2 linked regions of the Danio rerio genome follow. The protein of the gene in region 1 interacts with the protein of each later gene in a pairwise test. Links are inferred from orthologs where the notes say so. Each region holds a gene or a part of one and is shown in the gene's direction. Other genes may lie near its edges. The genes, in order: zhx1 and zmynd11.

The links.
Region 2: the proteins of zhx1 (region 1) and zmynd11 interact in a two-hybrid assay, tested with the Homo sapiens proteins (2 studies listed by BioGRID and IntAct). The link is inferred for Danio rerio from reciprocal best matches to the Homo sapiens genes ZHX1 and ZMYND11.

What each region holds. Positions count from the first base shown.
Region 1 is NC_133191.1:47,767,831-47,772,357, reverse strand, and holds the start of zhx1 (zinc fingers and homeoboxes protein 1), read left to right. Parts: upstream 1-1,718; 5' UTR 1,719-1,996; intron 1,997-3,896; 5' UTR 3,897-4,001; coding exon 4,002-4,161; intron 4,162-4,527. Other genes in the region: atad2 (ATPase family AAA domain-containing protein 2), read left to right, coding at 1,100-1,132. UniProt on the Homo sapiens protein: Acts as a transcriptional repressor. Increases DNMT3B-mediated repressive transcriptional activity when DNMT3B is tethered to DNA. May link molecule between DNMT3B and other co-repressor proteins.
Region 2 is NC_133199.1:31,320,124-31,324,405, reverse strand, and holds the start of zmynd11 (zinc finger MYND domain-containing protein 11), read left to right. Parts: upstream 1-1,323; 5' UTR 1,324-1,473; intron 1,474-4,282. UniProt on the Homo sapiens protein: Chromatin reader that specifically recognizes and binds histone H3.3 trimethylated at 'Lys-36' (H3.3K36me3) and regulates RNA polymerase II elongation. Does not bind other histone H3 subtypes (H3.1 or H3.2).

The sequences.
Region 1 (4,527 bases):
TTTGTTTTACACAGCGGATGCCCTTCCAGCTGCAACCCAACCAAATGACTGATGTTTATGGTAAAGATTAAAATCACCATCTTGTGCATTTAACTTGATGCTCAACAATGAAAGTTGTAGGCAGCAATTACATTATGTAACCAATAGGTGGCCACAACCAGCCGTCAAAAAATATGCACTGAATAATTCTTCAAAAATGACGCATCTAGCATTAAACTATGACGTTTGATGAGTGAGTAACTGAATCATTTATTGAAAATGAGACTAAAATGAAATATGAGTTGTACAAATTATGTTAGATTTATACATGCAGCGTCATCAGAAACAGTAGCAGTTTAGAATTCTTCACTGAATATTTTACTATTTTTTATTCCGCTGATTACTTCTTCATTTTATTTTGAATTAATTTACAGGTTGTAAGTTTTGTTTGTTAAAACCAAATGTTTCTTGCAATGCTGTTTTTGTAATTAACAGAAAGCAAATTACATTTGTCTCCTCCCTTTTTGACTGATCCTGATCCATGATTTAAAAAAAAAACATGTGATCCAAACTGAGATGTGTGATCTGTTACACTACTAAAAACACATACTGCTTTAAGTACATGGTTTAATTTACATTTAACTCATAGGTCTCATATTCGATTTCTAGAGGGCCGCAGCTCTGCACAGTTTTGTTCTTATCAAACAGCTGATCAAACTATTTAAGGTGTTCAAGACTACTAGACCAGGGGTGTCCTAACTCTGACCTGGAGGGCCAATGTCTGCATAGTTTAGCTCCAACTTCATTCAACACACATACCTGGATGTTTTTAGTATACCTAGAAAGCACAATTAGCCAGTTCAGGGGTGTTTAATTGGGGTTGAAAATAAAGTATGCAGGACACAGGCCCTCCAGGACCGAGTTTGGAAACCTCTGTACTAGACACTAATAGATTAGCTGTGTTTGATCAGGTTGGAGCAAAACTGCAGAGCTGCGTCCTCCAGGAATTGAGTTTGAGACCTATGATTTAACTGATTACCATGCAGTTGTCTTAAAGTGATTTGCTTTATTTGATTACTTGTATTTTCTGCAATTTAATTGTGTATTTTTTCTTTTGCAGGAGATGACAAAGGAAGTCCAAGAGTTTTCCTAGTTTACCTTTTTAATAAACTATACAGTATATTTCTTATGAAACTGGTCTATAAATTATATTTTGCCAATTCTTTAGTCATGTCTTTTGAGTGTTGTGCATACTGAGTGCGTATTAAAGCCTTTATCACAATTCTCAGTGTCTCATGGATTTCATGCTGTACAAATAGTTTCAGTATTGGAACAAACATCTAATCTGCTCAGCCCGAAGTACTGCACAAAGTTAGGTGTTGTAATCAATTGCGGTTCTGCTTCAGGTAAAATGTAGATCAGCCTAGTAGGAAACATTAGGAAAATTCCACTTGATTCTACTGAAGAGAGGCATGGTGGTCATGTGACCACAAGCTAGCTCTGATTGGGCAGCTTAGTACTTCGCAGGTTCTACGTTTTTATAATCAGTGCGCTGATTTACTCGCGCAAAGTCGCGTTTAAAGTTAATAAGTATATTCATCGCAGTCATACAAAGTCTTATGTGAGTATTTTGACCCACATATAGTCCAAAAGTATTGTTTTATCGCCAGTTTTATTTGACAACGGGTAGTCGCCTGGCGATGATGTCACTACGTATAACACTGACAGCGGTGACGCCTGATGATCATTAAAAACTGCCATTAAAACGAACGCAGATGACTATTGTGTTTATTGAGAGACCTATAAAACACTGGTGTACTGTGCCCGGTCAATTAATAGACAAGCTGAGACATCAAGGAGAGGAGCATCCGATCGGCGTGGCATCTGTCCGGTCCATCCAGGGTTTTCCCCCCTGTACGTGCGGCGGGTCTCGGTCCGTCTCGCCTCCGCTCTTCCTGCTGCTGAATCGGGGGGTTTTCGCACTGAGAGGCGCGACCTGACTCTGAACCCACGGCCGGTGAGTTTCTTCACACCCTTTAAGCTTACGCACTCATAAAAAGTACCAGAAAGTACCATGCATTACCTTGCTTTTGTACTTGGTGATATGATTATACTATAGTAAAATTTTAGAAGCATGGGGTACCATGTTATGTGTTGTTATAGGGATGATATCTCTAAATGTTTCTGTTATACTTTTATGTATATCATAGTACTGTAATTCATGTAGCATGGCATTAATATGGTACACAGGTGATTTGGTCAGCATACCATAGCAATACCGTTAGATTTTGACATGTGCCATACAAAAACGTACTGAATATAGTAATAATTTCTTGTCATGATATTATCAACTGTACCTGTATTGTATAGTCGTCGTATTTTGTGAAGGAACAAACTTGTCTAAACTTTATTATTATTTTTCTGGCTGCAACTGAAATACTGTTCAGGAAAGACACATTACAGGCAGAATACATTATATTAACAATACTTAATGCATTAATAAATCACTCTTTAGCATTATGTTTTTAATGATTTAGTTAATGTTAACATGTAGCTTTTAACTTAAATGTGTTATAGGAATTAACATTAAACAAGATTCCTTGTAAGAAATGAACCGTCAATGGTGGAAAGAGTACTGAAAATTCATACTCAAATAAAAGTACCATTACTTGCCTGAAAATGTAGTGCGTGTAGATTAAAATCTGTGGTAAATATTACTCAAAGTATGAGTAAAAAGTAACCATTTTAACAGTCCTCAAGAATAGTGAGTAGTGAGTATTTTGCTGTAAAAAGCTGATGCATTTACATGTGTGTAAACATAACATTCTGTAGTGCATTTAGTTATCGCCCAGCAGGCACACAACATCATATGTTAATATTAGGTTAGATTTAGGTTGTGATGTCAGGTGATCAAAATTCAATGTCTAGCCATCGTCTAAGGGCAACGTTATTTTAATGTCCAATAATGACATCAAATGACGTTGATATTTGGTTAAGTTTAGGTTGTGTTGGAAATTGACCAAAATCAATGTCGAGCCAACATCTTTAACCAACATCATATTGATGTCAAATGCTGATGTCACTTTTTTCATCTGGTATGGCAACCAAAATCCTACCTCTGATAGACATTATTGTGGTAATATCCATACAACATCAAGCTGTAACATCATTAGATGTTGATATTTTGTTGATTTTAGGTTAGATGTTGGACATTGAGGCCGGCCTGATGTTGAGTTCTGATGTCAACCCAATTTTCATTTTCAAACAAAATGCAGCATCCCTATGACATTGGTATGCAACGTCAATCTAAAGTTATGACGCCATTTCGGTCATCATACAGTAAACATCTGTCATCTTCTCATCAGTGACATGCATCTAAACATGCGTCTCTGGGTCAAAGTGTGTAAATATTTTGGACACTTTTAATGCTTCCAAACAGTTTGCTGCAATTATAAATCGCCCATGTCTTGAGGTAGTTCATTATGATGCGATTTACCTTCTATGTGTGATTTGATTGGACGGGACCCATAGGACTGAGATTTTTCAAATCCCCATAGACAAGAAAGAAATGAAGTAGTAACTGCAGGTAGAAGGAAAGTAGTGGAGTAAAAGTACCAATACAGCAAAAAAAAAAAAAAAAAAAAAAAATTCAAGGGAAATTAAAAGTAGACATTTTAAAAACTACTTAGTAAATTAAAAATGTTGAGCAAAACTACTCAATTACAGTAATTTGAGGATTGTAATTAATTACTTAACACCACTGTGAACAGTTTTACCATTTTTAATAAAAACAGTAGTACTTTTATTATTAATAGTTTTACAACCCTTGTCCAGTATTTTGATCTAGTCTGTGATTAAATAGGTCTGTAAACGTTGATATTTATATATCAGCTGTGTTGTTTGTGCTTTTCTTTCAGGATGCCGAGCTCAGATCGTGTAATGGGACAAATGTTTAGCATGTAAATTCAACCTCACGGAGGTTCTGGCCAGCTTATATTTTATTGTTCACACTCACAAGCACAATGTCAAGCAGAAGAAAGTCCACGACACCCTGCATGGTGCTTCCATCAGATGTCGTAGAGCAAGATCCAGATATGGAGGCCCTGGAAGGGAATGAAGGAGCCGAGAGTATGCCAGACGGTCCTACAGAGGGAGCAGTGGTTCCCATGGAAACAGAGACAGGTGAAGTTCACTTCTCAAGGCCATTTATTTATTTATTTTTTGTCCTGGTCAGAATAGCTCTCTGTCCTCACCCAGAGCGACAGGTTGTTAGTGGCAAGTAATTGCTCTGTTCATAATGAATGCTGGAAATTCAGATCCTGTTTTGATGTTTAATGTGATGTTGATCGAGAGCTTTGCAGAAATGGACAAATCCAGCACACAAATCAAGCTCTGTATTAAAAGCATGGAGACTTTAATAAAATATACTCCCGTCCAAAAAGTAGTGGAATTAGAAGTATAAAATACATTATGATTAATACTTAATTAACAATTAATAATAATTCCAGGGTACAAACAAGTGAAAATAACAAAAACCCTTCAAATTGT
Region 2 (4,282 bases), on another chromosome or scaffold:
GGTCTTGCTGTTTGTTCAGCCTTTTGATTGTTCTAGTGTTGATTTTTCGGTTAGTCTATATGTGTTCATTTAGCACCATCTGCTGGAGTTTCATCTTAAGAGCAATGAGAATTAGCAATAATCAATTGGTAATGCTACCACTACTGATTAAAAAGAAAACATCTATCTATCTGTCTATCTGTCTATCTATCTATCTATCTATCTATCTATCTATCTATCTATCTATCTATCTATCTATCTATCTATCTATCTATCTATCTATCTATCTATCTATCTATCTATCTATCTATCTATCTATCTATCATCTATTATGACTGACCTGTTTAAACAATGAAATTATGGAGAATTGTTGCTTATTATAATTGCTTATTATTATTAATCATAACACATTTTGAAACAAACACACAGGTATGTATTTAAACACATTTATGCATGCATTAAAACAAGTTTTTGCAGTAAAAGCTAATAATGATTTGTAGTACATTTTTATTTTTTAATGCAAATTTTTAAAATGTTTTTTTTAATGCTGATGTTTATCAATCATGAACCAACATTTGTTTGTAAATGTATCCTTGTTGTACAGTAGTTTTACTTTACTATACTAGTTTAGTTTTTGTACTATTTGGTTATAGAAACTGATTTTTTATGTTTTCATTTTTCCTTTACCTTTAAATGTTCAGTAATTTAGTTCATTTAATTTAGGTTCTGTAAGTTTATTTCGTTTTGTTTTAATACTTCAAACTAAATTAAAAGAAAATAAAAATCATTTGACTAAAATAGATTTCAACCATAGTTTTAGTCAAAGTTAAAAAATAACCTTGATTCTAAAAAAAAAAAAACAAATGAATGAAAATTTAAAGAGGTGTGAGCATGTAATTCTTGCCCACATGCCGATTTTAGATTTATATTATGCATGCATTACAGAGATTTATATATATATATATATATATATATATATATATATATATATATATATATATATATATATATATATATATATATATATATATATATATACACACACACATATATATATATATATATATATATATATATATATATATATATATATATATATATATATACAGTATATATATATATATACACACACACACATACAATTACCACATAGACTAAATTATTATCGACTTTAAAATGCAAATAATATTCAAGAAATATGACAGATATACAAACTTATGAATATGAAAAAAGAGCTTCAAGGTGAGACGTGCAGAGTAAAACGCGCAACTCCTGCGCCCTGCCACTAGAGTTCTCCCACAGCCTGTGACTGTGTATGAATGTGTGTATGTGTATGTGTGTGTGTTTACCCCCTCCGAGCTTCAACTGTGGCCGGGCTCCTTCAACCAACCACTATTCTGACATTTAACTCCGGAAACACAAATGTAAGCAGCGCTGCGTTACATCCTAAAGTGAGACGGAACGGCGAGGCGCTTGATCAGCTGTCGGACAGCGGTAAGTACGCGCATAAACCGGGTCGTTTTCATGACATTCGCTGCAAAGAGGAACAAAAAATCCACTCCCAACTGGTTGGTTTTGTCTAGAAGCGAGGGAGGGATATCAACATGGCGTCCATGTAGCTCACCAACCAACCAACAAGAATGTGTAGGCACCGATGAAGGGTTTTCCCTCCATTTGCAATCTGCTGTGCTATTAATCGTGATTTCTAGCAGTTTGCTCTATATGAAGCGCGCGTCAAAAACAGCTTGCGCGTTTCCGATGTCTTGATGTTTATAGTTTAGCGACTCTTCGCCGTTTGTTGTTTCTTTTAGGCACTGCACTGCGTTTAATTGATTATTAATAAGCCATACAGCTGCCAAAGTCATCATGGTTTTTGGATTTACACTATTTCGATCGTTTAATTAACATAATCGGGTTCCTAATGATTTTGCGCCATACATTCCAGCACTCGAGCTGTGAACCACATGAACTGTTGTAGAGGCATCCGTCGGGGTTTTAAAAATCACTGGCAACATTTCTAAACGTTAACAGTGTAAACTAAAGTTATGTCTGTCAAAAACTTCCAATGTTGTTGTAATGTTCGATAAGGAATCGATCGGTTATCCTCCTTTCTGCGCATGTATTTATTGCGCAATAAAACAAACAGGTCTTCTCGGCGACATCAAGCCGCAATCGGTGACTTTAAAGATCTTTACACATTAAAAAAAAATTAATGACATAAATCTCGTGTAAATCCACATGAGATGAATTGTACTGTATACATTAGTCTGCTGCAAAAGCGGTTTAATTCCACATTGAGTGGGTCGCCACTTCATGGATGCTGCCATGTTGATATCACGTGACCAGTCATAAAACTGACAAAGTTGCTAGTAATTATAATCATGTTTAACTACATGTTCAGTAGTGTTATTACAGTGAATTGTTGCGAACCAGCAATACTCATCTTAATAGGATCATATGATGCCAGTGTAACCAAAACAGAGTGAGTTCTACCAAAAACTCACCCATAGGCTGTCCAAGAAGGTTGCCTTTTTCTTCAGTGGAGCATTAAAGCAGAAACGGTGAACCTTGGTGCATGCCTTAACTTTAAGATTACAAAAACATATTTAGGCAATGTCAATGGCTTCTGATGATGCGTAAGGGTCTTATGAAGCAAAACAGGTCTGCACAAGTAACTGAACATTATATTTACATCATAACTTTTAATCCACTGCCTCAATGGAAAGTTTGGACAGTCTTCACACATCCTGGATGTTGCACTTGGGTTACAGATTATCTCAATCAGAAATCTAGATTTTCCCACATTGACTACTGATAATGTGATTATGCGATATGAAGCTCATGCTTTAGAGCACTGCTGTTTGCTGGAGTATGTGAATTTAAGGTTATTACGTTGTACATAATGATTTGTTTCTTTTACAGACAATTTATTTTGCTTAAAAAGACCTCAGAATGTAATGTCAGGAGACAGTTATTAATTTTTTGTGCGTTCATGTTTTTTTTATAATTACTAACTCTAAATGCGCTTGTAACCTTTCGTGTGCATTTTTATTGTTACCAAGGACTATAGTTTGTTATATCCCTTCTAATGTTCTATTTTTGAAAAAGTCACCTAATACTTTGTGACTTTACATTTCTGGATAAACTGTCCTTTTTTCTATTTAATTAACAATTTAATGTTATTACATTAAGTGTCACACTTTTTACATTCTTTACAGGCATATCTTTTATGAAAATAAAAAAACTGTCAAGCCTGACCCCAGGGATTCACAACTGATTATATATATATATATATATATATATATATATATATATATATATATATATATATATATATATATATATATATATATATATATAAATATTATTATTATTATTATTATTTAACATTAGTTGTTCTCACCTTCCTTGACATTCCTGCACTTTCATTAGTAGATTTCAGCATACAGGAGTTGTTTCAGTTGGTCTTCTTAGTAAAAGCCATCTGGCAGATGATTGTAGAAGCTGTAACTTACAGTATGCACAACAGCAATAAATGTGACAGTCATTTTCATCTCTTCTTCATGCCACATGGCACTACAGGCACTTTGTGGAGAGGGTTTTCAGGGTTCAACGCTAAGGATTTTTTTTACTGGCCCGATTGGGCCAGTGGTTCAGATTTTTACTTGCCCTGCCAAAATTTTCACTGGACTCACCAAACAAAAGATGTTAATAGCTATTTCTCAGCCACATACAATATTTTAAATAATGTTTCAAAAGCTAAACATAATTGAGTTTGGGGTCAGTTTTATACACAGGTTTTTAAAAAAAAATTATTCAGTTCATCAAGTTCATTGAATGTTAAAGTTAGACATTTAACGTGCACATTTGCCCGTAGGAATGACATCTTGCCCTGCTTATCATTCTCTCTTCATATAGCCGTATATATGGCTATTACACAATCGTAAGACACTGTCATATAGCCTGGGTCGTTAGTTCATTGGACCGTTTTGCTTTCTCACTACAATTGATCAGCTCAATCAAGCAGAGACCATTTCAGTCAGGCGATCTCGGATCGATTAAATTGGCGCAGATCCAAGTGCGATTGCTGGACTCGCATATGCCAAACAAACCACACTAACCACAGGAAAACGAGACAGATTCCGAAATGAACGTCTTGTGTGTGAAAGCACTCTAAGATTGTATTTGCACGCAACTGACAGACGGTCACAGCCAAACTTTTGTGACAAGGCAGCACTGGCCCAATCCGGCCAGTAACCATTCTGTACACTGGCCCGAGTGTCTCGCACACTGGCCCCTGGCC